Linked DNA regions of Neurospora crassa OR74A. The protein of the gene in region 2 interacts with the protein of the main gene of each other region in a pairwise test. Links are inferred from orthologs where the notes say so. Each region holds a gene or a part of one and is shown on either strand. Other genes may lie near its edges. The genes, in order: stk-58 and stk-24.

Region 1 (15,554 bases), on a different chromosome or scaffold from region 2:
AGAAGAAGAAGAAGAATACCAATCAACAATAAAACAAAAAAAAAAACTCACCTTCCCCAAAATGCGGCGCAATAACATTCACCTTCGCCTTCTCCCCAATCAAGCACCACCCTGTCTTCTCAAATCTATTCACCCCACACTTCCTTGGACACAAGTTGCACTTGGCCAGGTGAGCATATGCTTGCGATCGTTTCTTGGCCGCGTCGACTTCAGATAATTGGAGGTAGCGGGGCGTGTAGTCGTCGAGGAGGAAGGGAGGTGCTAGGTGGAGAGATCTTTTCTGGAGGTTGTTGATGTTTGGGGATGGAGAAAGAAGGAGTTTGCGGGTGGTGATGGGAGTTGCTTTCAAGGACAGAGATGATGTCTTGGCTGTGTAGGATAGGAGACGTTTGGTGGCTATGATGGGTAGGAGGAGGACTCGGGGAAGTGATGAAGGGAGGTGGTGATGTAAGGATTGACGAGTGGTCAAGGTGAGCATATTGTGTTGGTTGTTGGGCAAATCGTGCTGTGTGTTCCCGAGAATGTGACTGAGAATTGAGTGAACGCTCGAATAGGGCAGATAGATGATTGGGGAAAAAGGCGAGGGAGTGTTGCTGCCGTGAAACGAAAAACTATGAGGTTGTCGTCGTGAACAGTGGAACCAAATCGAGCAATCCGCAACAGAGGCAAGTGGCAAGTATGCACTAACAATTTGTGCTACAATGCAACCCCTAAAACACACCCACACACGAACAAGTACTTCTAGGACCACCCACCCACCCACCAACCAACTAGCGAATATCTCAACCAATGCTTTTCGCTCGTGCTAGCAAAAAAGAAACAATTTCTTTCCCGGGTATGAATCGATGGATGTGGATGCCTCTCTATATACAGTAGTAATAGTACTCCCAAAAGTGAACCCAGGTGATGATGATGACAATGATGACTGAAACAAACAAGCAATTATTTTCCCCTTGACGACAACAACATTTACCTCCTCCTCTTACCACCACCACCCTGGTCGCCGCTAGGACCACGCTTCTTACCCTCCCTTTCCCAATACGCCTTCTTCTCCCTCTTCTCCTTGCTCTTGATCCGCTCCTCGGCCTCTTCCAGGCTCTTCTTGTACTTCTCGTGCTGCTCCGCCTTCTTGGCCTTGCGCTTCTCCACCACTTCCTTGCGGATCGTTGTGAGTTTCTGCATGAGATCGCGCGCCTTCTTCTCCTCGCCGCGGACGACGACCGCACGCTTCTGCATGTACGTCTCCTTTTTCTGCTTCTTGGTCTGGATGATCTGCGACTTGAAGGGCAGCTCGGCCGCGAGGGCACGCGGCACACGGAGAGGGTTGAACCGACGGGTCTCGCGCTCGATCTTGCGGTACTGCGAGTTCTTGTCGAGCGGCGTGGCGATGTTCTGGTCGCGGCGGACCTCACCCGTGAGACGCATGCTCTGCCAGCCGACCAAGTTGGTGGCCGGGTTGTAGAAACGGTGCGGCTTGATGGGGTACCACGCGCGCAAGAAGACGATGTCGCTGAGCAGGATCTTGTCCTCAAAGGTGGCACGGAAGTGGCCGTCGGGCTTGGCGAGTGCGCGCTTGATCTGACCGCGGATACCCGAGACGGTCTTGATGGAGGCACCCTCGAACTTGGCGATTTCCAGCGCCGAATTGAACATGTCCTTGATGAAGGCCGTGTTCTTGAAGATCTTGTATGGTGTACCGGTCTGGACGAGTTGTTAGCATCAAAAACACCATACACAATAGGGCGGAGGGTAACATACCAGCTTGAGCTTCTTGACGATCTCGGTAGACTCGTCTACGCTCAATACTGTACCGGTAGCCGCAATACGGAACCCGGGGTTGGCGGAAGAGAAGGACTGGAAACATGTGAAACCCGTATTGGGGGCACACAGGGGGCCGTAGAAGGTACCGAAGCAGTGCATGTGCTCCGGAGTATACTTCAGCATCCTGTTTCTCGTCCGAGAATCAGAGATGGAGTAGATGGGAAGAGACTGGAATCGGCGCCAGCCGAGGGAGAAGATGAGGGGATCTCCCGTCTTGAGAATCTTCTTGTGCCAACGGTGCTTCTTGATTCTAACTTGCACAAAGCCGAATCTGTCCTCCGTGGCCGAAAGACCTCCGACAACGATCGGCATCCGTGGCTTAAAGTTCTTGACGAACTCTGCTGGGACACCCTCGATGACCATCCTGGCGTACTTGCCGGCCTTGTAGCCTTCGACAGCGATCCTTTGGCTTTCATCAAGGTTCTCGTATTCCGCCTTGTTGATGTCGAGCTGCTTCTGGATCATGGCCTTTTGAGCATCATACCAGTCGTCCTCTCCAAACTCGTCATCATTGCCACCTTCTCGCCTGGCAATCGCCTTGTCGTTCTTGAAACCTTCACGATCTTCCTCTTCGAAGCGAAGCTTGAGCTCCTCCTTTCGGCGGGCGTTCTTCTCACGCTCGGCTTCAAGGCTTTCTGCTGGCTGCTCCTCTCCTTCCTCCTCTTCTTCTTCTTCATCCTCGTCGTCAGCGCCGTGCTTCTCCCCTGTCTCGAGATCCTCAAAGGCACCGTCACCTTCATCATCGTCGTCCTCGTCATCAAGACCCTCGAAATCCGAACCATCTTCGCCCTCGCCCTCAGCGTCGTCAAGTAGGTTGGCGGTGGCGAACTTGTTTCGGAGAGCCTCGACAGCGTCCTTGTCAGACCACTTGGCTTCTAGTTGTTCGTAGTCGAACTTGGGAATCATGCGATCCTCCCAAGAGTCCTCCTTGTCCTCCTTGCCAGTCCTCCGGAAGAAGGTTTCGTCGTCCTCTTCGATATTCTCTTCGATCTCCTCCTCGTCGTCTTGACCGGCCCATTTCTTGATGGCTTCTGTGGGGGCCATCGACTCGTCGTACATGTACCTCGCCAAGTCGACAGCGCGGAAGGGTTTCCTCCTTCCGTGTATCTGACTTGCGCGCTCCATTATGTTGTCCTTCCACTTGAGCTCAGGATCCTCCTCGTCGTCCTCGTCATCGTCAAAGTCGGATCCTTGGTCTTCATCGCCGGATATCGAACCAAGGTCGGAGTCACTGTCGGCAAAGGCGATGTCCTCTTCTTGGTCGTCGTCGGTCTGTTTCCTGAACATCTTGCCCAGCTTCATCTCGTTGAACTCGGACTCGACATCGGATCCATCCTCCATCTCATCTTCCTCTCCGCTTTCGAAGCCTTCGTCCTCTGGCGGTTCACCACTCTCACCATCGGCAAGTCTGGCGGTTCTTCGGCTCTTGCGGCCAGTGTTTCCGACATCCTCGTCCTCGACAGGGAGCTGGTTGATCTTTTGTCCGCTCGCGAACAGCTTGACACCCTCGTCCGTTTGACCAAGGAGACGCCTCTCGTTCTGCAGGTCGATGATGAGCTGTTCTCCTTCGCCGCGCTCAATGCCCACAGCATCCTTGTCAAATGTGAAGCCGTTCTCCCTAGTGATAACGATGTGATCGCCAGTAATTTTCAAGCCGCTGCGGTCCGCCATGGGCGCCCAGAGCTTTTTGTCCTTCTCGTCGAGTCGCCTTCTGCCAGTCTTGCCACTGGCCTTGGCCAGCGCTTGTTCCATAGCGGGAGTCGGGCAAGGATCCGGCAATTGTTCCATCTCTTTGATTGTAAAGTCGCCCAAACCAGCAATATGTACCCTTTGGCCCTCGGCGGAAAAGTTTGTACCACGGAGGTAACCGGAGAGTTCAATCGTTCGGTCGCATTTCTCGTCTTCTTCAATCTGGGTGGGGTGGGTGACATCGCGGTAGTTGTCGATGATGGTGTAAGGGTGGGAGTTGCGCCAAACGAGCGGGCGGGGGTTCTTCATGACGGACAAGAAGCGGGAGAGGTTGTGGATTTCGCGATCGGGGTAACGGCCGTTCAGGACACCGGAAAGGTAGAAAAGGTGGGCACCCTGGTAGAGTTCGCTCCAAAGTCTGTGCTTTAACCTCTTCTTTGCCTCCTTTAGTGCTTGGGGCTTCCTGAACAGGTCGAGATGGGTGAGGATGCCAAAGACGTTGCCGGGCATACCCGTGGCGGCAAGAACGTTAAGGAACTCCATAGTCTCCATTTCGAAGCCGAAGTTTCCATCGATCATGAGAAGGACAATGTCGGCGACCTTTGCAATATCGACCATGGCCTCGAGTTCGTTGGCGCATTCGATGAAGGTCAATCTCTGCTTCTTGGAGGTGACGACCGTGATAGGTCCCACCGGATCTTGGATGGTTTCCTTTGCATATCGTCGGATGAAAGACTTGAGAAGGGTGGTCTTTCCTACGCCAGGGGGGCCTACGATGGCGACGAGTCTTGGGGGTGGTTCATCGGGGAGACGGTCGACGGCGGGGACATGAAGACGCTTCTCTTTGATCTGCGGAACAAGACCAGTTAATTATAAGAAGTCATTGAAGGATGGAGCGAGGGAATGTCTTCTTACATCGTGGGATCTGGCGGCTTGTCTGGCGAGTTTACCAGGATTGGAGAAGGCAAAGGCCTTGGGGTTCTTTTCTGCAGGGACGGTCAGCTGTGGATAGTAACGATAAAAGAAACAATTGAATACACATACCACCTGTATGCTTGGAGGCCCCCTTCTCCTTGGACTTCTTGGAAGCCCGATGGGGTTTGTGGGCTTGGACGTCGGCCATGATTACGGCTGGTGTCCGTGAACTTTTTGCAAGTTCAGTAGTATAGATGGACACGCGGTCGCGAAAACAGGTGCAAGTGGAAATGCGACGGGACTCGCTCCCAATTCAACTGCTGCCAAAAAGCTGCTGTCCAAATTTTTTGGATAGTCGGTTTTCTGATGGAACGCCAAGACGTTTATCGATAAGCGATAAGATACCTGAATAGTGGGACCTCTTTCCGCGGCAGGCGACGGGACCTATCCCCGGCAGCACCCGCTACTAAGCAGTGGCAGCATGCGGGGAGTTGGAGACCCTGACAGGCAGTCCCGACCTTCAAGTCTTGGAACCTTGAACAACAGACGAACCCAACGTATAGTCCCGTTTCTTATCTTCAACCAACTACTGGGTGAGCTGTGTCTTCGGAGTAACTATTTCCAAAGGTTTATACGAAGATATTCCGTTGGGTGGTTGAGATATCTTGTGCTGTCTTGAGCATGACCAACCTAACTACCTCTATTGTACCAAGCCCTCCCTCACTGGTGGAGACTACATACCACGCTATGTAAATGCATTGGATTGTTCAGGGACCTCCCAACAAACGGTTGAAGAAGAGTCGAGACCATGAAAGAGCTATCATAGTTGATAACTTGCGGCCTCGACATAGGAACGTCGAATGGGCCCGCAAAGTCAAACAGCCATGGGCCATGGCAGCCCTTCTTGCATAACACACCATTTTGAGGGTTACATACGTAATTGTCGCGGGAAGGAGGGTTTCCGATTTACACACATGAGGAGGGTATGGCGTATAGGCTAGGCTCAGAGTTACAACAGATAGGTAACAACATCCAAGATCCTGAGTAGCAAGATGGTCGGAAGATGACTGGATCCATCCTCCCACACCACTCCTAGTGTCTCAGCCCGCGCCTAAGCGCTCGTTAGGTGGTTGTGTGCAAGGCTGTCTTGTTGGGCGCTGAGATGAAGGATTGTCTCTGTCATCCCCACGCCTGGCAGCCAAAAGAGTGTCACAAGTCACAAAACGACCTGCGGTAGGCGCAGCAAGTCTGGTCCAAGTGGATATGACGTATCATCCGCTCCAGAGAATGCTAATGTCCCTGGTGCCGCGTCACTTGTGGCTCCTGACGGCGTGGCAGGAAGACCAATCTAGCATGATTGCCGCTTATCTGGCACATGTGCATCTGTGGTGTAGGTAGTTCGAGTCCACTTGTGCATGTCCCTTGATCACGTATAAGATGCTCCTTCGTCCGCTCCTCGAGACGCAGTACCGACTTTCCAAGTTCACGACCAACCACTACACTCTGTTTCAACATTTCCATACAGCAACACCAACTTTTTCACCAAACAACCCTCCCACCACCGCAAAGATGCCTTCTTACATTGTAAGCATGCCGCACTCGCGCCTCACACTACCCATAAGACTCTTATTGACCTCAGCTGTTCACTATGTCAGGTTACCCTCAAGGACACCGCTACCGATGAGGAGATCGCCAAGACCAAGGAGGACGTCAAGGCGCAGGGCGGCAAGATTGGCCACGAGTACACCCTCATCAAGGCCTTCCAGTATGACAGCCTCCGTCTTCAGAATTAGACACAAGAGCTGACCCTCTCTTTTTAACTGCAGGGCCATCTATCCCGAGGGCGCTGTTTTCACCCTTGAGAACCACGAGCACGTCAAGGGCGTCGAGGCCGACCAGGAGGTCAGGACCCAGTAAAAGAGCGCATCCGATTTCAACAGCATGTTTGAAGCATTAGGCGTCAAGGACAACGACATTGGGAATGATATGACATTAGCCCGGGAAGGACAGGTATAGGATGAGACTACAGTCGCCTGCTCAGAGAGAGAAGCATGATCTGGTGATGGATCTCATGCGGGGCACCAATCGCGGGGTAACAGCGAGACGGAGGTTACCTAGTCTCAGCTACATAGTGTTGACAGCGACAGGGGGCCCGGGGCTTACCTGCCGGTTTCGCTGTCGTTCCAGTGACACTCTCCACTGGAATAGATAAAGGCGGCCATTTGATGATTGTTATGAATTCAAAGAAAGATTTCCAATTTGCACATGTTGACTTGAATCGTGTCACTGACTGTGCCTAGGGATGTGTTCAACCAGGAAGTCCAGACTTGCAATGGGGATGCGTCATGCTGGATGGAGGAGAGAGCAACCGACCCGACAGCACCGAGGAGACAGAACGGGAAGCACAGCCAAAGCACAAGCACCTAAGTGGAAGTGGAAGCCCTCCTCAGCCCAGCCCAGTCCTCAAGGTGCTCCAACCTACTCCAAGCGGCCTGTGGGCAGCCCCTTATCGCCTAGCATATCGATTGGACCACGATAACCCTGTTTCAGCGTGGACTGCTACCTATGTCATCCCATCGCGGCGCTGATCGCCGTCCCGCGCGCACACACACACACACACACACACACACACACCACCGAATGACAACGAACTGAAGCAACACGGCACTCTCCACCGGACCCTACCTACGTACTTGTTGCACCAAAATTGGAAGTACGTTGTAGTCCCAAATTCAGTCTCGTAACAGAAACCCGCGACCGCACAACATGCCGACATGAAATCCATCGCGAGGCCGTCGAGGTTTCCCAGCCCTCTCAAGGCCGCCTTGAGCTCCTCAAACTACCCGAGACTGTATTCCATCCTGAACCAGAATATCGCGAGACCCCATTACGACCGCCCGCTCAGCAGTCGCCATGAGCTAGAGGACAAAGTCCCATGGCTGGCTAACCAGCCTCTACATCAGCTGAGTCTGGCCGATCTTGTCAAGTAAACAACCAATTCCACTTTATCCAAGGCGTTGATCTAACAATGGCTTCATTCTCCCAGACACGGCCGCCCCCCTCTCTCCGCCGAAGCCCTCCTCTCCTCGGCGCGCTTCACCCTCTCCCTGCTCCCCATCCGCCTCGCCCACCGCATCCAAGCCCTGCGCAACCTGCCCTACATCGTCGTCTCTAACCCCAACATCTCGCGCATCTACAACAACTACCAGCACTCGCTCTCGACTTTGCTCCCCTGGCAAGGCAAGACCATCAGCTCGCTCGACGACGAGATCAAATTCACCCAGGTCCTCGCCGAGCTCGTCCAAACCCACACCGACACCATCCCCATCCTGGCCAAGGGCTTCATCGAATGCCGCAAGTACATCTCCCCTAGCGAAGTGACCCGCTTCCTCGATGAACACCTGCGCGCGCGCATCGGCACCCGCCTGGTAGCCGAGCAGCACATAGCTCTGCACTACAGCTCTACGCCGCACTTCGACCCGGAAGCCTCGCCCACGCTCTGTCCGGAGCCCAAGACGCACCCATCCTACATTGGCGTCATCGACACGACACTGCGGCCCGCCAGCGTGATCGACTCATGCGGTGACTTTGTCGCCGACATCTGCGAGCTCAACTACGGCGTGCGCCCCGAGTGGGTGGTGGACGGCGAGCCGGACGCCACCTTTGCGTTTGTGCCGATGCACCTCGAATACATTGTCACGGAACTTTTGAAGAACGCGTTCAGAGCGACCGTGGAAAACGGCATGAGCCGCGAGCCGGTCGTGGTAACCATTGCGCCCGAGCCGGCGAGCAGTTCCGCCAGCGCGGCGACACCCGGCGTTTACTCGGATTATTGCCCTCCCAATTCTTCCCAAAAGAACTCTTCTTCATCTTCTTCTTCGGGTTCGAATTCGATTTCTTCGAGTCAGCAAGGAAAAGCAGCAGCGCAACAACAACAACAGCAACAACAAAAACAAGCGCAGCATGGCATCATCCCGCTACATGACCGTGCGCCCGGGGTGACGATCAGGATCAGAGATAGGGGAGGAGGCATTAACCCGGCGGTGTTGCCGAACATTTGGAGATACTCGTTCACAACGTTCAACGACGCGGATGATGATGATCATCATGAGTCGCCGGGGGCGTGGGGGGAGGAGGCCATGGGGCTGATTTCGAATACGGGCGTGGGCGGGAGCACGATTGCCGGGCTGGGGTATGGGTTGCCGCTGAGTAGGGCGTATGCTGAGTACTTTGGGGGAGGGATTGCGGTGCAGAGTTTGTACGGATGGGGCACGGATGTGTACTTGAGGTTGAAAGGGGTGGGTAAGATCGAATATTGAGTGTACATACTACATATGTCGGGTTCGGTCGGTCGGTCGGCCGGTCGGTACGCTGTTATAGATCGCATGTCAAGTTGCCCTGCCGGTTATGAGTATATAGTATTTGGCTGGGAGATTTGAAAGAGGGTCCATAGAAATATGACTTCAACGCGTCAAATCTGGAGAATAGACTGTTGTGTTTATTCCTGCTCATGGTTCAAAGCGAATCGACCAGTGAGATGGACGTGGCTTGAAACGCGGTTCGATGTTACATACTTGTTTGATTTCGAACTCAACATTTACATCCAAGATTCATATTCCTCATCGTGCCTTTCCTTAATGACGCCAACCAAACATCAACCATTAACCAACAAATTAGAAACTCAGTCTCGTCGTGGGTGTAAATGCAAAGAGATACATTGCTATGATATGTTATAACTATGCAATAAAACTTGAAGCCAAGAAATTACCAAGTATTCCCAAAAAAGATAGTGTCTATGCTACTATATCCATTAATATTTTTTTTGTCTCAAACCACTAAACAAACGATAAAATGATCCAAAAACCCATCCAATCCATGTCACTTCAATACCCGGCATCCATTATGACATGAAATCAGGTTCCATCCTTCATGTATCAGATCACATGTTTCCACTTCACATGTTCGCCAACTCATTATCAATCTGCCTGTCCATAAACGTCCTCCTCTCACCCACCAACTCCGTCTGCAACCGCTGCTCCACCAGCGCCCGCACCTGCTTCTTCGTCACCGTGTCCAAATCAACCTCGCGGAGCACGCCCTGGATGGCCTCGATGATCATCTGGTCATCGGGGCCGGGAGTGCTGCGCTGAAAGTCAAACGACCGCGAACTTTCCGAGTGGCTCATGCCGGGACGGTGTCCAGGAATACCCAGGCTCATGCCCGTGGCCGTGGACAGGCGGGCGTTGACCATGCCGCCGGCGCCGAGAGCGGGAGGCGTATTGGTCATGGAGCGCATAGCACCCTGGCTGGGGCCGCGGCTATGACCGCCAGGGAAGTCCTGGTACGGGCTGGCGCGGCGCTGCATCTCGACCATGGTGCCCATCGAGGCCATGCTCTGACGGTTCATGAGGTTGTTCTGCTCGGTGAAAGGGGAGGCGCCGACAAAGGTGCTGGCATGGGTCATGGCGCCGCTACCGCCGCCGTTGGGCGGGAAACCAGGGCTGTGAGGGGGCATGTAAGCTCCGGCACCGCGACCGCCGAACCCAGTAAGAACGGACGGTTGGCGGACCGAAGAGTAGACTGACTTCATGTCATCGACCTCGTAGGTCTCCTCGTACATACCGCCCAGATGCTCGTCCATACCCTTCTCAAGAGGGCCACCGCGACGACCGGGAAGGTTGTTGGCGAGGGCATATTCGTCCCAGCGCTGGAGAGGAATGGCACGGGGGTTGAAGCCCTCCTCGTCGACGGCGACAACTTGCTTTTTACCGCTTTCACCAATGACAACGCGCGTATTACCCCAGGCGAAGTCATCCTGATGCCAGAACGAGTAGATGGGCAGGATGAAGGAGTAAATGGGGAAGGCGAGGAGGTAGATGATCATCCAGCCCACGTGCTGCCATTGGCGCTTGAGGATGAAGATGAGCGCCTGGAGACCGTACACGGCCGCAATCATGATGATCGAAAGAAGAGGGAACGGTGCAGTGTGGGAGGAGGCCGTGTAAATGAGATAAACGATGTAGACGCAAGTGGCGGGAAGAATAATAGTACCGAAGAGATCGATGAAGACGACAATGCGCATTGAGAAGAAACAGAAACCGCACATTTCGTCGAGGAAGATCAATTCAGCCAAGTTGTGGATGGTTGAGTTGATCCAACGACGACGCTGAGACAGCAGAACGCTCCAAGTCTCGGGGGCGGCCGTTTGGCAGTAGGCATCGGGAATGAACTTGTAAGACATGTATGGGAAGTGCTTGGTCATGAGCGTGGTGAGGAAACGATCCTCACCAAGCGAGAGCAGGTTCTTCTTGTGGAGGGTGTCAACATAGCAATCGCTGTACTCGCGGATAATATCATCCGAGATAATGAGCGGCTTTCCCTTGTCAACAGTACGCAAGCGGTACATGGTGAAACTATTGAATTGTCAGTATTGCCTACAACAATCAGTGAGCGGAGGAACGGCAAAACTTACCAACCGGGCAAACAGGTAACGCTGCCAAAGAGAGACTCGAAAGCCTTCGCTAAGTGATGAGAAATATAGTACTCGTAAACCTGGATCATGGTCCACCACGAAAGATCCTCATTCTGCAAACTGGTTTCACCGCAAATACCGGCAATCTTGGCGTTATTGGCGCAGGCTGCCACTAGGCGGTTGAGAGAATCTTCGCGAACGCAGGTATCGGCATCGACCATGAGGAGGTATTCGTAAAGTTCGGGATCCACACCGATGATGTTGTTGATCTGGTGGAAGATTTCCAGTTCCAAGGGATTCATGGGCGCACGGTGATGGACGCGGTTGAGGAAGCTCATGAGCAGAATCTGCGAGTCACGCTTACCACGGTTACCGGGCTTCGTCTTGGACTGCTCAGACTCCTTGCCGACCTTGACAACCACGATATAAGGTACCACGTTCCCTTCAAATTCATACAATCCAGAGTAGACCTTGCCGTAGTTGAGCTGTTCGGCTCCAGTACCGACGGATTTGAAGGCCAAGGCAGGTGGGTCAACCTTGGGGTCAACACCGAGAATATCGAGGACGATCTTGGGAGTAGGACGGTCGTTGCCAGCACCGACGATGACACCGTCGCAAATAACAAAGATCAGCTTCCGCTTGTTATCGTACTGGAGGGCTGTCAAAGAGTCCAGGGCTTTCCTCAGCGAGTCTTCACCCTCGGTATAAGCGGGCACCTGGCAGATGACAAACTTGTCCTGGGGAGCAGGGCGTCTCTTGGATCCAAATTGAAGAGCCGACACGAACTTGACCACGATGATACTGCAGATAATAACGGAAAATGCAAGCAAGATGTAGTTGTTGACTTGACACCTGGCCGAATAACGGAAATCGGGCTTGCCAACGTAGAACGCGTTCTTGACACAGTTAAGACTGTTCATAACACTATTATACTGGGTCGTGTTGCTACTGGCGCGATCAATCAGGTCGTTAATCTGCTCGGTCAAGTCCTGGCCGGGGTTGTTCTTGACCATGTTGGTGATCTTGGCGTCGATGAACGTGTATGTAGCATCGTTATTCATACGCTTGGCGGTGTACATGTAATCGGTCATGTCGTAAACGAGATCCTCGTAGATGAACCACGGGTGATTCCAATCCAGGCCTTCCTGCTTAATCTTCTTGGAATCCCAAACCACGTCGCCATGGTAGTACTCCTTGATGGCAGGCAAGAATCTCTCGGTATACCAGTATCTTTCAGAGAGCTTGCTCCGAATATTAGGCTGCGTGGGGCCGGAGATATGCTGGGCCACAACATATTCAGGGGTAGTGTTGAATTGCAACGTAGTTGAATCCGCGATGCCGAGGCCGGGGCAGGTAATGTAGAGAGGCGCGACAAAGTAAGCGGAGAGGTCTTGGCCAGCAAGCGGCATCATTACATCCGACGTGGTGTCAATGTTGTTGTCGCTGTGCTGCAATCTCCAGAATTTGGTGATGTCGTAAACCTTGCCGTCAATGCTGACCCAGAAGTCATCCCCTGCCGCATGATTCTGAATTTCTTCCAGAGTCCAGGCTTTGTCGAAATTGGGGCAAAGAAGACGACCGAAGAAGATAATCCAGAAAACGATGATGGCGTTGAGAAGAACGATAATGAGGCAGAGAACAAACTTCTCACGCCATGCCATACGCACGTCAGGCCGCTTCATCCGACCGACGAACTTGAGTAATGGAGATGGAATCCACCACGTCAAAGCCCAAACAGTAAAGACCCAAATTTTCCTTTGGGAGGAGATAGGCCGCTCCTCGATCTTCTTGCCCTCAGCAAGGTCGGGCTCTAATTCCGAAACCAGTTGGCCTTCAGCGTTGTAGAAGACCTGTCCCTTGTATTGATCGCCCTTGGGACCAAGACCGTAATCACCGCTACGCATGCCAGTCATGTTCGTAGGGGCAACGGAAGGAGCACGCGCGGGGCTCGGGTTGAGGTTGTTTTGGCTAAGATTACCACCGAGGGCGAGGTGATCGTAGCTCCCGTTGGAGGTTCCATCGGCAAAGGGAGAACGCATGTGGTCAGCATGTACCTGAGGCGGGAAGAAGCCGCTTCCGTTGTGAGAATAGCCCGAGCCCATGGCCCCTGGGGCCATCAGGTTGCGCATGCTGTTGAGCCTCTCAGCTTCCATGGGCTTCAGGTCCAACATACTTTCGGCTTCCCACCACGCGCTCTCCCTCATCCATACCCTCTCGTTGCCCACGACAACCTCGCCGTTGCTCCAGCCCCGCTCCAGGATCCAGCTCTCGATACCGTCACGGCCATCCATACAGCCCAGAGGCCGATATCGCTGAGTAAATTCATGGTGATCAAAATCGGCGGTGTAGTCGATGTGCTTATTGCGTCTGTTGGCCCACTCGGACAGCCTCCAGGTGCGGAGCTGGCGAGAAACAGCTCCAGCTGACCAGGCTGAGTTGACGGCAGGAAGGGCAGCGAGACTAGAAGGTGAGTCGTCTGTGGGGTGGATGCAGAGGTGATACCAAGCACGACTGCGGTTCAAAAGATCCGCAACATCCACACGGCCAGTGCGGCCGAGGTTGATACCCTCGGTGGGAACCGGGAGCAAGAGCTTCCTCAAGAAACCCTCATCTTCTGATGCGAAGGCAGTCTTTTCCAAGATTTCCTCGCGCTTCTCAATCAGGCGTTGCCTTTCCCGGCCAACCGAGCCAACCATAACACCCAGATCAGGACCACACTCTGCAACAGCACTCTGCATTTCCCGCACAACCGAGCTGGAAACAGGAACCACCTCGACGCCGTCAGCCTTCATTTCCGAGTTGATACCCTGAGTGTCGTCGAAGATGCCCCGCATGGCAATAGCCTTGCCCAAGTTTTGGTCGGGAATCTCGAGGACAGTAAGGCAGACAGTATCGCCACTGTCCTCGTTGGAAGTGGGCGCACCACTCCGGGAGGCACCGTCGCTAGAATCATCGCCACTTCTGGATTTACCCATCTGCACGGCAATAGCATCGTTGGCCTTCTTGATGACCCAATCGACCAAAGCCTCATAGAGTCCTCCGATCAATGTCGCCCGGTCGTCGGTGCTGAGTTGCCTGGCAAGAATTTCGGGTTCGATACCAAGAAGTCCACCGACATCCTCGCAGATTTCCTCCAAAACTTCTTGGTCAACATTGTAATCGAGTGTGTTGCCGAGCTTGAGAAGGCCGGCCAAGATCGAGATGAGGTTGCGGTGCGAAGAGCCCTTGATGCCGATGTCCTTGAGGGCAGACCTGAAGTCGTCGGCAGCGGCACCATCATCGGCGGTAGGAAGATAGGATGGGGGATCGTAGGTGCCGGACCGGGCGAGAAGACTGTATTGAGACGCGGCCTTGAGCCCAAGGAACTCTCTTTCGGCGGGGGTAGAGGCCGTGGTGAGCAGGTAGTAAAAGACATCAAAGGCCCTGTATCCAGGCTCAGAGGGGACACCCAACAAGCCTTTGTCGGTGTCGATACCACCTTGTGTGAGCGAGAGTGAGGCGGCAGTAAGGTTGCCTGTAAGGTTGAGGGTCAAGGTGACGGCCAAGCCGGTCTGTCTCGGAGTGGAGGGGTTGTAAGGGGTTACACAGCGAAGGAACGGTTCAATAGCATCGAGTGCTTTGTACACCGAGGCAGGGATCTCAAGGGGAATGGTGGACAGGAAGGGTCGCAAGAGCGAAGGAGTCGAGTTGTGCAGTGATCTAGCAGTCATTCACCTGTTAGTACCAGACAAAGTGTGTAGGTCAAGCAAGGACATACCCAAGAATGATACATCCATCCTCAGCACGGCGACGAGCGTGCTCCCATGCCCTCAAAGCCAGAGCGCCATCAACGGTTCCACCAACGTGGCCATCGGGACCAGCTTGGGAGGCCGTAAGCCATGTGTTGACGACGAGACTTGTGCCGGCGTCCAGACGGTATGGTTGTGAAGAGAGGTAGATGTTGTGTACGGAGTTGAGAAGAGTCGTGGTAGAGACCTGGGATGGCTGTTGCTGACCAGGACCCCGTCCGCCCATACCGGCGTCCGAGGCCATGGAATACATTGACATGCGGTTCGCCATGGTGTGTTGTTGGGATGACGGCAAAGTGTCAGATGGATTCCGGGAGCCCCTTGGGGGGAACAAGAGCGTAGACTTGGCCCACGCCTTTCCTCACCGACAAGGACAGCGATGCGAACGAGCGGTGGTGGTGGTCGAAGTGTGTGTATATAGTATCGATAATCGCCGAGTAATTGTGCGATTGAGGCTTCGCGTGTGGTTGTTTCAGCTCTGGTCAGTAGTGGATGCTTCGATAGTCGATATCCTCTGCCAAATGCTTCAACCGCGTTCTTTGGTACCGTCTGCTTGGTAGTGGTAGTGGTAATGGTAGTAGTGTGTGGTATTATTAGATGAAGATGGGACCAAAACGAGAGACGACACCGATCGCGCAAAAAGATCGGACGAAGAGAACCACCAAAGCGAGTGAAGGCGGCCAACGTCAACGACAAGCAATGCAAAGCGGTGCGGTGACAGTGACAGACAGCAGGTGAAGTCGAGTTCCTGCGACGGGACGGATGCAAAGGAAACGGATTTCGAAAAATCCGGAATGTTGCAGATTAGCTGCCCGTCAGCTAGCAGCACCAGCAGCAGGGGCGGGCAGCAAGCAGCAGGCGGCGGTAGG
Region 2 (16,020 bases):
TATTACACCGGCCACCTCCGATCCACAAAGATCGCCTCGACTGGCCGCTACACAGCCTCCGTCTCCTCCCCCGCCTCGACGATCGGTTGAACTACAAAGGCCCCGGGACGTTGAAAAGCCCAGGCCGGTCCCGCCACCCATTAACAGGGCGGAAAAGCCCGTGATTCCTTCTCGCTCCTCGGTCCAGATCGAGAGAAGCCAAGCATTGGATATCAAGACTCGAACCCCAGAAAGAATCTCGCCTTTCAGCAGTCCGCCTAGTAGCAATGGCACACCTGACGAAGATAGCTCCCCGCCGATGCTACCTGCGCGACCGAGAGCGCAACAACAGAGGGAACCGAATCCGGAGGGACTTCAGAGGTCGCGGACCTTTCACGTGGGTTTTGACCCACCACCCCTTCATCCTTCAGCAGCACGGCAAAGGCGGGGCAGGGAAGAGGAAATGGGCAGTACTAGGGGCCCGGTAACGCGACATCATACAGGCGGGAACCGACCGCCAGCTCTCCCAGCTCGCCCGCACAGCATCATAGAGACAAGCCGTACACTCAATGGGATGATGATGGCGCCGCCACCGCGCCCTCCAAAGCCGGGTGTTAATGCGAACTTGGATCCAAACCCTCCCGGCAGTATATCGCAGAAACGGATAGTGTCGACACCAAATCAGTATCACCCTTCAGTTCCGTCCAGAACTCACGTTAGGTCCATGACTGTGGATAGGACATCGAACCGCGTTCCTAACGAATTCCGCGCGCCACCAACCCCGATCAGCGCTGCTACTCACGATCGCATTCCCGAACGCATCCCCGAAGTGGTCCCGGTCACTTCATCCAGAACAGCCAACACCGGGCCAACCATTACAATGGCATATCCTGACGCAACAAACACGAACCGGAGCAAACCTTACATCAGCAAGGGCGTTCATGAGATTTACACAAAGTACGACACTCGAATGCTCGATGTGTGCGGCGAGCTCGTATGCACGACTGGTGGCTTTACACGCGTGTGGAGTTTACTTGATGGCGAACTGGTTATGAGCCTGTCCATGGGTGAAGGGCAAAAGGGAACCGCGGTCATGTTCAAACCAGGGGCGCACGTCGACGATGAAGGCACAAAGGTGTGGATCGGCAACAACTCTGGAGAGTTGCTGGAGGCCGATATTGGCACGCAGAGAATCACGGACAGTCTACCGAATGCGCATGGCCGATATGAGATAATTAGGATATACAGGCATTTTAACGAAGTATGGACATTGGACGACAGCGGAGCCCTCAATGTCTGGGGCCCAGACGAGAGCCACACCCCGACCCTCTCCAACGGGCCCAGCCAGTCGTTCCGAGTACCTAGGGGTCACACTTTCTCGATGGTAGTGGAAGACGAGCTATGGTACGCGACAGGCAAGGATATTCGGGTCTTCAAACCCACTGTGGACGGGAAGACACAGTTTCAGGTTCTTTTGAGGGCCCTATGTCAGCAAGATGCTGGCGAAGTGATATCCGGAGCAGTGCTTGCATCTGATCCGGACATGGTTTACTTCGGCCATAGTGACGGAAAAGTCAGCGTCTACTCCAGGAAAGACTACACATGTCAGTGTATAATGAATGTCAGCCAGTTCAAGATCAACTCACTTGCCGCAGCCGGTTCGTATCTCTGGGCTGGATACAACAATGGCAAGGTAGCTGTTTACGACGTGACACAAACCCCATGGGCTGTCAAGAAGGAATGGGTAGCCCACGAAAATCCCGTCATCAAGTTGATCGCTGATCGCTCGAGCTCTTACAAGCTTGACCGGTATCAGGTTGTCTCTCTTGGAGCAGATAACATGGTACGAACTTGGGACGCGCTGTTGCAAGAGGACTGGCTTGAGGGCGAAATGAAGAGGAAAGACGTGGAATACTGCGAGTTCCAGAATCTCAAGGTGTTGATTATGACATGGAACGCGGGAGCTTCAACTCCTCACAGTCTTCGATATTCTGATTCGGATGCCAATTTCTTCAGGGATCTTCTACAGACCGCCGACTCCCCCGACATCATCATTTTTGGATTCCAGGAACTGGTGGATCTCGAGGACAAGAAAGCCACAGCAAAGCGATTCCTGAAGCCGAAGAAGAAGGAAGGGTCCGATCAAGAGCGGATGAGCCACCAATATCGCGACTGGCGTGATTTCCTGATTCGCAGTCTGGATGATTATATGCAGGGCGATTTGTATCATCTGCTTCACACCTCTCCCCTGGTTGGCCTCTTTACTTGTATCTTTGTCAAGGCAGACTTACGTGGACGCATCAGCAATCTCAGCAGCAACGAGGTCAAGCGCGGCCTCGGTGGTCTACACGGCAACAAGGGCGCCATTGTGGTGCGCTTCCTGGTTGACGACACTTCGCTCTGTTTCATCAACTGCCATCTGGCTGCGGGTCAATCAGGCGCCAACCAGCGGCATAACGACGTAGCCGCGATCCTGGATGCGTCTGCCTTCCCATCCGAGCGCGACCCCGCCGTGCGTATCGATAGCTACGTCGGCGGTGGTGACGGCACCATGATCCTCGACCACGAACTATGCGTGCTCAACGGCGATCTCAATTACCGAATCGACACCATGAGCCGTGACACGGTAGTAACGGCAGTCAAGCAGGGCAACTTGACAAAACTGCTCGAGCGTGACCAGCTGCTTGTTGCCAAGAGGAGAAACCCCGGGTTCCGGCTGAGAGCTTTTGATGAGCTTCCGATCACGTTCGCGCCAACGTACAAATACGATGTTGGAACGGATAATTACGACACAAGTGAGAAGAAGCGTAGCCCAGCCTGGTGCGACAGACTCTTATACCGCGGCAGGGGCAGGATAGAACAGTTGGACTACAGGAGACACGAGGTACGGGTGTCGGACCACAGGCCGGTCAGCGGCAGGTTCAGGTTCTTGGTGAAGAGGATTGATCCTAGGAGGAGAGCCCAAGCTTGGATGGAGTGCCAGCAGCTGTGGGAAGACTTGAGGGCTAAGGAGGCGTATGCTGAGAAGTGAGTCCACCCCTTTAAATGTTGATGCGAGAACAAACATGCTAACACGTCGAAAACAGATACTACTACCTTACCCAAGTCATTGGGTACGATCATGACACTTCTGAGCGATTGATCACGGAACAGGCCTCAAGAAAGCAGTTGAACCGCAGCCCAAGTCGACGTTAGGCGTAGAAGAATTACCAATATAATCGAAAAGCAGGAAACCACTCAACTGCGCCATCACCGAGTGACTTTTATTTTCTTATAGAGAAAGGATGAACAAGTCTATTACTTATCTACAGCATACCGCATATACATATACACTCAGCTGGAAAGAGAGAAAGGAAGAAGTAGAAACATACAATGGCTGAAAACGGGGCCTCTGGTTAGACAGGATACAGGAGCGTTGGGGAATGGAGCAACTGATGGATGAAAGGATGGATCGATGGTTTTACTACCCTTTTCTAGGTAGTTAGGAACAGCGCATATTGCTTTTTTGTCTTTTTCCACGATTTTGAGACTTATTAGCTTTTTGGTAAAGCGTGGAAGCGGTGCACTTTTCCTGTTGACACTGCTTCGCGTCTCGTCTTGTATGATGGGCAGCTCTGGCCATGAACTTATGCTTGATGTTGAATGTGTCATGGAGATAGATAGTGTCTGGGACTGTACAGGAGAGCACTTGGAATCAATATCGACGGAAAGCACGGAAGCGAAGGGAGCAATGAAATGAAAGGTAAAGAGAAGGCAGTATCACATAGAACAGTAAACCTAATGTTATTAGAATGTACATTTATCAAGTCCTCAACCGTTAGACACTATTATTTTCCAGATAATCTGACGAGCTCGCCTAAAAGTGTAGGGTGCGGATAAGGCCGGTGGTTACAAATGTTTTGGTAGAGGTAGTTGATCTGTGTGGACGACTGAAAGGGGGTCAATGACGTAGCCGTCTTACTACACGCGCCCAATACCACTTTACACTTCAGTGCCGATTTGTTTGTTAGCTCAAGACCTGGGATCAACTCCTGTGGGTGTGTACATATTCCACTAAATCGTTCCGTTTCATAATGAAGCCGTGATCTTACCTTGTACATGCCATTCTTCTCTGCAATATATTATATTCAATCTTGTCACTGCCTCTTTCAATCGTTGAGGTTTGGGGCAATACGGGATAGATTTCGTCTAGTGTAATAGTAGGAGTACCAAGCTAACAAACAAACCAGCATTAGACTGTGCTTCATCTCAACAACGCATCAGTCAGAGTTCAATTCGATTTGTAAGAGTAGCAGAGGCCTACTACGCACTTGCGTAGGACGGAAAACAGTTACCTAAGAGTTGGCTTTCGAGTGCGGAGATAAGCGGCATTCGGACTTTGGAATACCTTGACGTGCGAACACCACAGCAACCGGGCTTCGTGATACTCCATCAAGTGAACAACACACCATTACTCTTGGCTTCTATAATCAACCTCTTCTCCGACGATAACCTGATCTATATCGTATACAGTTCAACTATATTTATTCCACGAACCTCTCCTAGGCCTTCTAACTCCCTTAGCCCACGGCCCGTTGCCTCTACACAAATCAACGTGAATGCGACCTTTCACTCCCGCCGGCACGAAGACATTCCTCCTTCGCCAGGCCAACATCATCTCTCCCATACCACCAAGGACCATCATCACCACAACTCGACGACGTCTTCACCTCACAACCATCAACAAGATGTCCGCCGAAGCAACCCCCCACCGCATCAACATCACCCCCTCCAACATCGGCCTCTGGTCCAAGTCCCCCACCATTCACTCTCAACCCCCCACCGCCTACACGCTCCTCTCCGACCTCCTCCAAGCCGACATGCACGACCACCACGTCTTTTTCAACAAAGACGGCTTCCACAACCACATCCCTCACCACCTCCTCGCTCTCTACGGGACCTCTGCCCCCTCTGAAGCGCTGCAGAAAGCCTACGACGTTAACGCTTCCTACCAACGCCCTACGTTGCCAGAACACCAGGAAGTCGTGTCCGACTTGATCCAGAACTGGCGGGACGACGCGGCCAAGTACCTGGGCAAAGAGGAGCACTACCCTGATTTCCTGGCCTTTTTCAAGCGGGAGATGGATTCCCGCGGCGAGGGAAAGTATGAGCAAGTGGTGAATGAGTATTTGTTCGCGGGCACGCCCGAGGCGGATAACTTGTTGGTGAGGCTGTACAGCGGGTTCTTGCATCCGCTGATCCAGCTCATGTACGGGCTGGAATGGAAGCAGCCGGCGATCGTGGCGGAGGGGTTGGCGCAGGCGGCTGTGCATGGGGATGAGATTGGGGGGTATCTCCTGGGAGCTGAGCAGGCCGCAAAAGCTAGCAGCAAACCGGATGACGGTATGGGGAGGGTGGTGGAGGACTTGTTGGAAAGGGGAGTGAGAGGAAACAGAAAATTGGCGGAAGCGGCGAGGATGAGTGATGCGAATAAAGTCAGGGATGGAGTGTTGAAGAGGGCCAAAGAGGAGGCGATCCAGCTGGCGGCCAAGGTGAAGGTGGGAAAGGAAGAGTTGCAGGAGAGGACGGCGGAGATGTATGATTCCGCCGTGTTTATGGCTAGTGCGGCGGCGTTGGTGAAGAGGAATACGAAGTTGCCGAGGTTTGATTTCTTCTTGATGTGAGTTTCCTCGTCCGGTTTTGGTGTTTCTGGTCACGTACCGCTGCCCCCCCTTGAATTCAAGAAGGGGTAGGCAAGGAGTTGGACGGGAAGATTGATACTGACTGACGAACGACTTTCTATAGGCACCATGTCACATCAGCACCGTTTTTCACGACAGTCAACGCACAAGATTGGATATCACTTGACACCAAGGTCCGTCTTCTCGAGTGGAAGATCAGGATGGATTTGGTTCAGTACGCGGCGCGTGGAGCGCCGGAGTTGTCGCTTGATGCTATTACTTCTTATCAGCCTAAGGAGAAGAAGACAAGTGGGACTCCTGAAGGTGAGTTGATGATTACCTCGCTTCTGTCGGCCTTGAACCGCTACTTATACTGATGATTTTCAAGAAATCATTTCCAACCTGCATTTCTTTGAGGACGATGGTCATAGCATCAAGCTTGCCCGAGCTGCACGTATTTGCCAGCTCTATTATCAAACAAGAGATGACGATTACTGGAACAAGGTCTACCACCTGATTGTCGACTCGGTCCTCGCACCAGGACCAAACTGGGTACGTAGCTGTGGGTTCGATGAGGCATGGGAGGATATTCCCAATGTCGAGTAAAAGGCATCTAGCAATCCACAAATGTTGGACTAAGGGGGTATGGCATTGCTTTCACACAGTTTCGCATGGCGTTGTAGTTGTATCCCAAAACCCCTATTTTCTCTATTGCCATGAATTGGTATCAAAATCATCTGTACAAGTTATAAACTAGAATGCCGGTTGACAAACATTTTCCGTATCAGCGCCTATCCTATGTGTGGTACCCTTCCTTACCGTTACAAAAATCCTATAGTACTCTAAATCCTAGGACCTATACCAAACCGATCCACTCGTCTTCGCTGGCGTTCCCCTCATCCTGCTGCATGACATCGTTCAAGCTCATACCGCCAGCGCCCGGCTGCTCATCCGAGCCGGTGGTAGCCCACTCAAGCGCCAAGGTCTTGGTGGTATTAGTCTCCTTAGCAGCGCTCGCCTGACCGAGGAGGTAGTCAACCATGTAGACGTTTTCATCGGCCAACTTCCTGATCTCATCCCTCATCTTGGAAACAGCCCTTGCGACAACACGAAGCTCAACATCGACCTTGCCGCGGTTGGCAGACAACCACGCGCCGTGCTTGTCGACCAGAGCCTTGATCCAAAGAAGACAGAACTCAACGTGAGGGCTCTGCTCGGTCTGCGCGGCAACGTACCGCAGCAGCCTGGCAACGTACACGTTGGGAAACTGCTCGACCACCAGAGGGATGTCGGTGTAAGGGATGGCCTGGAAGACACGCTGGATCAGACCGGCCTCGTTCAAGCGGAAAGCCATGACGAGAGCCTTGAGGTAGTCCTTCTCCTTCTCGAGCACGGCCAGGGTAGAGGTGGGGGTGATCTCCATGTTGAGGTCAAAGGGATCGAACTGGATGGTGGTGTCCAGGCTGTAGATCAAAAGACCTTCTGTGGAGGCGGCGCAGAAAGCACTTCCGTTCGGGGAGAAGGCAACGCCGTTTACTCTCACTTCGGGATTCTTCCTCCGTGCGGAGGGGTCGCCGCGCTTGGAGCCTGGGAGTGACCTGTCTATCCTGTCCTCGAAATCGGAGGCCTCGCCTTGCTCGTCCAGGAGACCCTGGGGTCCAGCCTCGGTGAGAAGCTTGCTGTTGAGGAACTCTTGAGTGCCTTGAATTGAAAGATTGACGCTCACGGTGTACTTCTTCAGGAGAACCATGGTGGTGACGGAGTACAAGCAAATATACTTGCTGTTTCCGCCGGCCAAAAGGCACGATCCGTCTGTGCTGTATCTGATGGTGTTGAAAGCCTTGGTACCGGCAACATTGGCCGCAGTCCTGCGATCACCGATCTTCCGACCGCCGGAGACATCCCTGCGTCCATCAAGACCAGCTTGCTGCTCAGCTTCCGAGACCGACCAGAACGACAGGTTGCCGTCGAGAGTGGAGATGGCAATCTGGAGAGAATCTGGCCTAAAGGCAATGTCGAGAACATCCGAGTTGAGCTGGAGAGGCTCGCTTGTTTGTGTGCGGTTGAAGATGGACCAGATACGGGCAGTGCGGTCCCAACTACCACTCACAAGAAGACCGCCGTTAGGCGCAAAGGCCAAGGATGACACAGGGCCCTCGTGTCCCGAAAGACGATCTAGGAGCTGGCCAGTCTGGACAGACCAAATATGAATGTCGAAAGAGTCAACGGAGCCAGCCGCCACGATTTCGCCACTAGGATCAACTGCCATGCAAGAGAAAGATAGCCTTTCTGGTGCTGTAAAGGTCCTGAAGTTTCTGTATCTGATCAAGTCCCAAGCCCTGATGGAACCGTCCAAACTCGAGGTAAACAGGACATTGCCCTTCTTGGAGAACTCGCAAGCAGTGATGCCGCTCGTGTGCTCTGTGAAGGTAACAATGCAGAATCCCGATTCCGTATCCCACACCTTAATCTTTCCATCATCGGCGACTGTGACAATCCGCTGACCGTCCGGAGAGTAAACGAGGGAGTTCATCGAGTCGAAATGGCCCTGCTGCTTGAGAATGTAAGACTCGGACTGCCACTCCCACACCAAAAGCTGACCAAGCTTGGATGCGCCAAACGCCAGCCACTCGCCGCTCTTGTTGATCGTCACAAAGTCAATTTCGTTCTGGGAGATGCTGAGAGTGTGGATCATGTTGAAGTCGGGCATTTCGTAGAGGCCAAAGATACCGTTCGAGAAACCGGCAACCAGCAAGTTCGATTCGGGATGGAAAGCGGCGCATCGTACGGTGGCGCTGTTCTGCATGAAATAGTGCTTGTTGACTATCCTCCAGGCCAGGTCATCGTCGTCCACCATATCCTCGTCCTGTCCAGGCTTCGCAACGTATTGCCAGTCGAATACGGCGCCGTCCTTGCTGACTGTGTAAATCGTCTCTTGATCCTTGGAAAACCACGCGCCCACGACACCCTGCCTGTGACCGGACAGAACTGTAGGTGTGAACCCCTCCTCTTGATCAACACTCCATATCCTTGCTGTGAGATCCTTGGAAGATGTGAGGAAGAATCGCGAGTCGTGGGACCACTCGATGTGACGGACATCGTCGAAGTGTTGGACGTGGGTATGGTGCTTGACGAAGGGCGCAAACTCGAGCTCGCCGTCGGCGTTGGCGTCGGGTGTTGAGGGAACGTGCCAAACCTCGATTTTCCTGCCGAGTCCAACAATGAAGTGGCGCCCCGATGGCGAAAAGGAGAGAGCCGTTACTGGAGCCTTGAAGGAGAAGTGATATAGTACTACGCGCCGGGGCACGTTGGTGAGAATAGCTTGGCCATCTTCGTCTATGGAGAGTAGGAGGTTGCCCTGGGGCGTGAGACCGATACGCGCAATGTTCTTTCGGTGGGAGAAGGGAAGGGTATATGATTTGTTACTGCGACCGTGTTAGCCAGCTTACAAGCCATGCGCCAGGCAGGTGTGTAGGGAATCTTGAGACGTACTCGACAAGGTTAAAGACTGTCACCCTGTTGCCAACGGGCGAGAAGAGATGGGTACCGTCCGGGCTGAACAAGAGGTTGCCCTGGCAGTAGACTGTGCCCAGTAGATTAGAAAACTTGAAGTCGGTCTTCATTTTCAAACACTATTCCATGCCTCGACTGTCAACGTTGGAGATGGAGCAGAACTGGGATAGTATCTGGGGATTCGATTATGTACAGGAACTGGAGGACTCTTTCGAGTCTGTATAGGTAAGTGGAACAGAAGTTCAGTTACAGGCTGCTGCTGTTGCGCCTAGACCGCCCGTACGTTCAATGGCGATTCTGCCAGCCAAAAATTTCATAAACTTTTTGGCGGGGAATGGAGTCGGGTTAGCTCCTCGCTTTGGCACCAGCTGGCAAAAGACTTGGCGTATCTGGCAGCCTCACCGACCGCAGCGAGACCAACCACTGCACGGCACCACCAAGCACGGTCACCAAGCACAGTGCAAGGCTGGCAGAGCTGGCAATCAAAGGGTCAAAGGGTCGACCAAGTTTCCATGGCAATGAATGGCTGATCACCGCCAATGGCGCTAGCAGGGAAGGCACGCATCGATTAAATGCTCGGCGAGGGTACCTGGCAAGCGCGTTTCAGTGGAGAGCTGCCAGCGTAGGTCCGTCTCTGGGGACCTGGAATTGGGGAAGTGTGGGAAGCAAGTGGAAAAGGGGAGGGTCCACTCATTTCCCTGCCGCGCAGCCAGTCAAGAGCGGCCTTGTGTGGTGGCAGCTCTACACTACTGCAGAATGCCGGGCTCGAAAGGTGCCATTGGATTATATGGATCGTGTACCGTGCGCCTTCTCGGCATCATCACAGACGGCTGCCGTGGCCCCGCCCAGGCACCTCATCTGGAGGATGGAATCGAATGCTGCTTGCTCGCTGCTTGCTCCGTCCGTCTGCTGCCGCGGCCCTGCAGTGCCTGGAGTGCTTGGGGTTCAGTCAGTGTGGGCTAGGTTTGGCCTGGCGCTCCCGTCCCCGTCGCTGGTGCTCTCTCCTGCGTGGGTGTGTGGTGCTGGGTTGGGCCAGATGAATGTGGTGTGGAAATTTGAACAAGTAAATTCCCCTGAACGAAAGCACAGAGCTCCACGACGGGTCCCCCGTCCACTCACCACTGCAGTTCCATCCCCCGTCTGCCTCTCGCTCCCACCCGTCCACTGTCAACACCAACCTAATTTCGATTCCCATTCACGACCACCACCATACCCGTACACCACGCATCCCGCCTGACGCTCTTTTTCTCCAATTGCCGGTGCTTCTTCTCGCCGTTACAGCAACGGGATCGTGACTTAATCCTCTACCCATAATTATCTCCCAGTTTCGTGTTTCGCCCAGCTGAAGATGGCCCCTGCCACTACCGAGAGCGCCTCACCGATTGGCATTGCCAATCTGCCCAACCAGCGACACAAGATTGTTGCTAAGAGAGGCGCTGCTTTTACTATTATGGTGCGCTTCACTGTCCAAAGCTTGCCGAACCTCGCGCTTGTAAAACCAATGCTGACGGCGTGGGTGGATAGGTTGCTGGCGAGTCCGGCCTCGGCAAGACCACCTTCATCAACACGCTGTTCTCCACGACCATCAAGAACTATGCCGACCACAAGAGGCGCCACCAGAAGCAGGTCGACAAGACCGTCGAGATCGAAATCACAAAGGCTGAGCTCGAGGAGAAGTTCTTCAAGGGTACGACAGCACATCACGCAGGGGGACCTTGGTGTCTTGTAGGAGAGCTCTGTCTAACCAGCTTATAGTTCGCCTGACTGTTATCGACACCCCCGGCTTTGGTGACTACGTCAACAACCGCGACTCGTGGATGCCCATTATCGAATTCCTCGACGACCAGCACGAGTCCTACATGCTCCAGGAGCAACAACCCCGCCGTCAGGACAAGATTGATCTCCGTGTCCACGCCTGCTTGTACTTCATCCGCCCCACCGGCCACACGCTTAAGCCCCTAGATATCGAGGTCATGAAGAGACTCTGCTCTCGCGTCAACCTCATTCCCGTTATTGCCAAGGCCGACACTCTCAGCCCTGCCGACCTGGCGAGGTTCAAGTCCAGGGTAGGTTTTTCCCTTTACTTGAAGATACCACCCATCATCGCTAACCATGACTTCTAGATCCGTGCCGTCATCGAAGCTCAGGGTATCAAGATCTACCAGCCACCTATTGAGGAGGATGACGAGGCTGCCGCACAACACGCACGCAGCTTGATGGCCGCTATGCCCTTTGCCGTTATCGGCTCCGAGAAGGATGTTAAGACCAGCGATGGACGTATTGTCAAGGGCCGTCAATACTCGTGGGGTGTGGCCGAAGTCGAGAACGAGGAACACTGCGACTTCAAGAAGCTCCGTTCGATTCTTATCCGCACCCACATGTTGGACCTTATCCACACAACAGAGGAGCTGCACTACGAGGCTTACCGCGCCCAGCAAATGGAGACCCGCAAGTTCGGCGAGGCTCGCCCAAGGAAGCTCGACAACCCCAAGTTCAAGGAGGAGGAGGAGGCTCTCCGCAAGCGCTTCACAGAACAGGTCAAGATCGAGGAGCAGCGTTTCAGGCAGTGGGAGCAAAAGCTCATTGCCGAGCGCGACCGTCTCAACAAGGACCTTGAACAGACCCACGCCCAGATCAAGTCCCTCGAGATGGAACTCGAGTCTCTGCAGGGAAATGCCGTTCGCAGCCACGGTCGCCGCTAAGCGGTTATCACGGCTTTTGCGGTATCCTCTACAAGGGTGACCACCGTCTCCCGTTCTATCGAGCATTAATGTACCTGCGCCTCGATTTTTTTCGACATGTTTACGTGAAGACGAACTGGGCGACTTACATACCTTGAAAGACGATGTTCATGGATATGCTGCGGTTTGGTAGGATGGCGCGGTCATCGATCGAGGCTTGTTATAGAAGGGGAGGCTCCTCATGTTTTTATACACTTGCCCGGGTTTCCCTCATCTTCTCACAGACCCTTTCTGCATAGCCCGAATCGCGCAGGGAGGCCCAGGAGATGGGGATGAAAAGTTACAGATATTTGGAAGATTTCGAGCGGCAACTGACATTTTACCACACCCTTTACACTTAACTTTACCCCATCACGCCAGTTTTTTTTTTTCTGTCCGTCTTAGCTACGATGTAATTCTGATAGCAACCCCCCTTTCAATGATACCAAATAATGAGAAAGGCTACCACTTTTGAGTACAAGCTTTGACTTAATGACTGTAGTGCTTCGAATTGAGAGTTGACAAAGGTCTCTAAGCTAAGCGCAAACCTGTGCTACTAAAGTGAGTTGCTATTTCCATATCATGCCCAGTTAACAATATTGCGTTGAAAATACAAGAGGTTGCTCCGTACACCAAGCCCGACTTAGCACACGCGTGAATAATCTATCCGTTACACCAGGTCACTGTGATGCCCTTCCTATGCTCTTCTGAACCGAACCATTACTGGGTATAATTCCTTTCTCCTCCCCTTCCACCCATCCCACTTACACTTTATTGGATATCCTCTAAACGGCATCCATCGTTGCCCGCGTCGTCAGCTGCTCATTCTTGTTCCCCAGCTTCGAGATCTGCAAGAACGCATCCACCCCATACCCTTCCAGACTGTGCAGCGCCAGGCTACCAGCCCAGTACTCGGCGTACACCCTGCTCAAAGGCAACCCCATGCCCAGGCGTAGGTTCGGCGGGCGGCTTGTCAGCGTCGCCAACGAATTGCAGTAACCCGGGTCGCCGGGGAAGTTGTTCCCGTTGTGAATGCCTTTGATCTGTTGTTTTTGTTGCTGTTGCTGTTGCTGTTGCTGTTCCTGCCGCTGTTGTTGCAATTTGCCCACCGTTGTCCCAGCTTCGCTAGAGGTACTTCCCTCGACCTTGAGCTCCTGCATCGTCGCGGCCATCTTGGGCACCTGTTCCAGATTCGTCAGCAGCTGCTGACTCGCAGGCCCTTTGCTAAAGGACCACAAGTACGGCAGGACGTCCTGCTGGATGCCGCCACCTTGGTCCGAGATGCGAATGATGACGTGTTGCTGGCTTTCGCAGATTGTCACCTCGATCGCAGGCGGCGGGCCAATCTCGTCGGTCTTCCCTCCCGCTGCCGCTACCTTCTCCTTATAACGCTGGTGTTTCTCCACTACGGCCTGCACCGAGTTACGGAGTAGCTCGCCGATGATGTACTCGAGATGGCTGAGGATATAAGGGAAATTGGCCTCCAGGTGTCCGTCGATTTTGATCTCGGGGATCGCCACGTCGGGCCCGTATGCGTGCTGCGCAATGTCGCGGATGGCTTGGCCGCATCTTTCGACGACATCCTTGGCGACGCACTTCAAAAAGACTTCGCCGATGAACTCGGATTCCGAAAGCTTGGCGCCGGGGGAGAACCAAGGCGCGTGGAAGGTGTCGGTTAGAGCCAAGTGCTGCTCGGCGATGACGCGGCGCGAGATGCGAGAACGGAGAATTGTGTTCATGAACTTGTCTAGCTCTTTGGCGTCCATGAGTCCGGCTGACTCCAGTATGCCCATGGCTAGCTTGGGGATCACGGTCAGGTGCGCTTTGAGGTTGGAGCGGATGGTGGCGCATAGGGCGTCGTTGTCTTCGAGCGTTTTGATTTCGGGGACCTTGCGGAAGGTGTCGAAAGCCGAGTAGTAGAGGTCGTAGACTTCGTTCATGTGTGGGTTGGTTACTACTACGTAGGGGAGCCGTTGCATGTCGCGGATGCGGTGGGCAATTCTGTCCGAGTTGTCGCATACATAGTCAGATGCTGTAACTCTGGTAGTCTCGATGTTGGAGAGTCTAGTTTAGAGCTTACCTCGTCGGAAGCTCTGTTCGCACATAATTGGCAGAGCTAATCAACCTCGACTCGGTCAGGGAACGGCCAAAGACCATCAATTGGCGCAAACTGATCGGTCGAGCTTCCTTTGCGACCCATCTGTAAGTGAAGAGATCACATTGTAAGCGTGGGCTCCTGGTGCATGTGATGTCAAGGCAAGGACAGGAAATCCGCATACTCGTCTAGAACAGACACCGGGCGCCATTTCGGACTGTGCTGGCTATGTGTACATCGAGTCTGAGGGGTTAGAGATATCGTTCGTGCCCTTGGTGTTGCTGATAGTCTTGGAGTTGCAACTGAAGTAGAGCTCGTGCAGCTCCGAGTCATCGCCCACTTGAGGAGGAGCTGTCCTCGGCTTGTTCCTCTTCGCGCCACCATGCCCAGGTCTCCCGCCGTGCACATCAGCCGGACGGGCGCTTTCGCATTTTGCAGCAAGAAGCACGGCATACCGTCGGTGCCATGCGAAACAGAGTAATTTTGGTGAAGAGAGGGAAAAGGAACTTGGAGTCGGGTTGTCGCAAGATTATCAGGCTAGAGGTCGTGTTGTGTCAGGGTTGGAGAGCGATAATCGGAGCAAGATGCACCTCTGACACTACACTAGACGTAGTGTAGAATCCCTGGGCCCCGCTGGTTATCACGAGCTTGCTTCAGTTGGTTTAGTGTTTACGTTAGGGGGACGCGGGAAGAGGGTCAGGGGCTTGGAATTTTTTTAGGTTGCCGTGGCCCAAAACCCGACATATCTATCATATGCTTTTGGTTTACGGAGCCACGATAAATTGGCGTCTATTTGTGTCAAAATACTTGGGTATGTTAAGCCAGATTTTCCCGTTGTTAGGGCAGTCACCTCGTTCAATATGTCCAAGTACTGGATGGACGTCCTCGCACTGCATGCATGACGGATGCGAAGGGAACAGTTGCTCCTACTCGACCCCACACTCTGGGGCTTTTACCGACTGGACTCAGTTGATCGGACGTCATTCGAACGACGGATGTGAAAAAAACAGCCGGTGAATCCAGTCAACTGAAATGGAGGTGCTGATGACCTCAAAATCCAAGACACATGGAAGTGTTGTTGCCCAAATGTTAAGCTCCGAATTATATGGTAGATGGGCAGTTAGGTCTATTATCACAGCTCTGGCGCGAATTTGAAGAGCTTCAGGTTGTTGTGTTCTTGGCCATCTTGAAACACCGACAACAAATTCGTCCTGAACAATCAACCGGCAATACTTCGTTACGTCACTAATGAATCGTCTAAGTACTGTGTAAATAAAAACGCAAAATGCGGGCAAATGATGGTTTGTTAAGTCGAGAAAGCGCATGCAAACAGATCGATGCTTTGACTGAGGGTAGGTCGCGATACTCCTGTCACCATAACACCTGGATATCCTCTGGCCCAGTCTCAGTCAAAAGTGTTGATGGGAACCCATTGAACACATCAGCTGTTAGCTGGAGGAAGAGATCCAGGCCACGAACCAGGTCGGGTATCTCTCACGTCATTCAAGTTTGGGAGCTTCGAGTTTGTTAAGAGCGGCGGCTAGTGAACATGTTATGCACTAACAGATTGGCTGGCTGCTTAGCACAGCTTGCGATAGGCTGTGAGGGCTTGGCTAACAAGTGGCCTGACCTGATACTAACATCACAGAAACTCGCCTACGCAAGCGCGGGGTGATCCAGCCCGGACCAACAGCCACAATAATCCCAATAAATGTCGAACAGAGGAAGTTGCTGTGACCCAAGGAGTCTGGCCACGATACCTTCGGAATTCAACACTATAGATTCAAAGTATCGGTTGTGCCTGGTAAATTGTCAAGAGGAAGTACTCTATAAGAGATCACAGATACCGCGGTTTTGCCAGGATGCTTAACTCCATGTCTAGAGGTACCTCTACGTATACTGCATCTGACTGAAACGAAATGTAGACTGGAGGTCTGTAGGTCAAGAACATCATGCCCGTTACCTTGCGGGTAGTAACATTCCATATGCTTTGCTGCCACTCAACAACTGAGCGCGCGGCCGGGCAACCGCGGCGGGCGATGGAACCTATAGA

The links.
Region 1: the proteins of stk-24 (region 2) and stk-58 interact in binary tests that used the Saccharomyces cerevisiae proteins (3 or more experiments, as listed by UniProt). The link is inferred for Neurospora crassa OR74A from reciprocal best matches to the Saccharomyces cerevisiae genes PKP2 and PKP1.

What each region holds. Positions count from the first base shown.
Region 1 is NC_026504.1:3,683,152-3,698,705, reverse strand, and holds stk-58 (mitochondrial pyruvate dehydrogenase kinase), read left to right. Parts: upstream 1-7,033; 5' UTR 7,034-7,199; coding exon 7,200-7,411; intron 7,412-7,471; coding exon 7,472-8,744; 3' UTR 8,745-8,932; downstream 8,933-15,554. Other genes in the region: NCU04347 (pyruvate formate lyase activating enzyme), read right to left, coding at 52-478; NCU04348 (ribosome biogenesis protein), read right to left, coding at 970-1,701, 1,759-4,359, 4,426-4,496, 4,555-4,633; NCU16822 (hypothetical protein), read left to right, coding at 5,863-6,009, 6,081-6,190, 6,252-6,342; NCU04350 (chitin synthase 6), read right to left, coding at 9,380-10,838, 10,898-14,596, 14,655-14,956. UniProt on the Saccharomyces cerevisiae protein: Inhibits the mitochondrial pyruvate dehydrogenase complex by phosphorylation of the E1 alpha subunit (PDA1), thus contributing to the regulation of glucose metabolism. Also involved in telomere maintenance.
Region 2 is NC_026505.1:2,430,558-2,446,577, forward strand, and holds stk-24 (pyruvate dehydrogenase kinase), read right to left. Parts: upstream 14,710-16,020; 5' UTR 14,421-14,709; coding exon 14,152-14,420; intron 14,073-14,151; coding exon 13,953-14,072; intron 13,874-13,952; coding exon 12,658-13,873; 3' UTR 12,356-12,657; downstream 1-12,355. Other genes in the region: NCU03792 (inositol polyphosphate phosphatase), read left to right, coding at 1-3,006, 3,066-3,174; NCU03793 (hypothetical protein), read left to right, coding at 4,578-5,638, 5,764-5,963, 6,028-6,245; NCU03794 (periodic tryptophan protein 2), read right to left, coding at 6,496-9,064, 9,132-9,262; NCU03795 (cell division control protein 12), read left to right, coding at 10,501-10,605, 10,677-10,839, 10,908-11,218, 11,276-11,854. UniProt on the Saccharomyces cerevisiae protein: Inhibits the mitochondrial pyruvate dehydrogenase complex by phosphorylation of the E1 alpha subunit (PDA1), thus contributing to the regulation of glucose metabolism.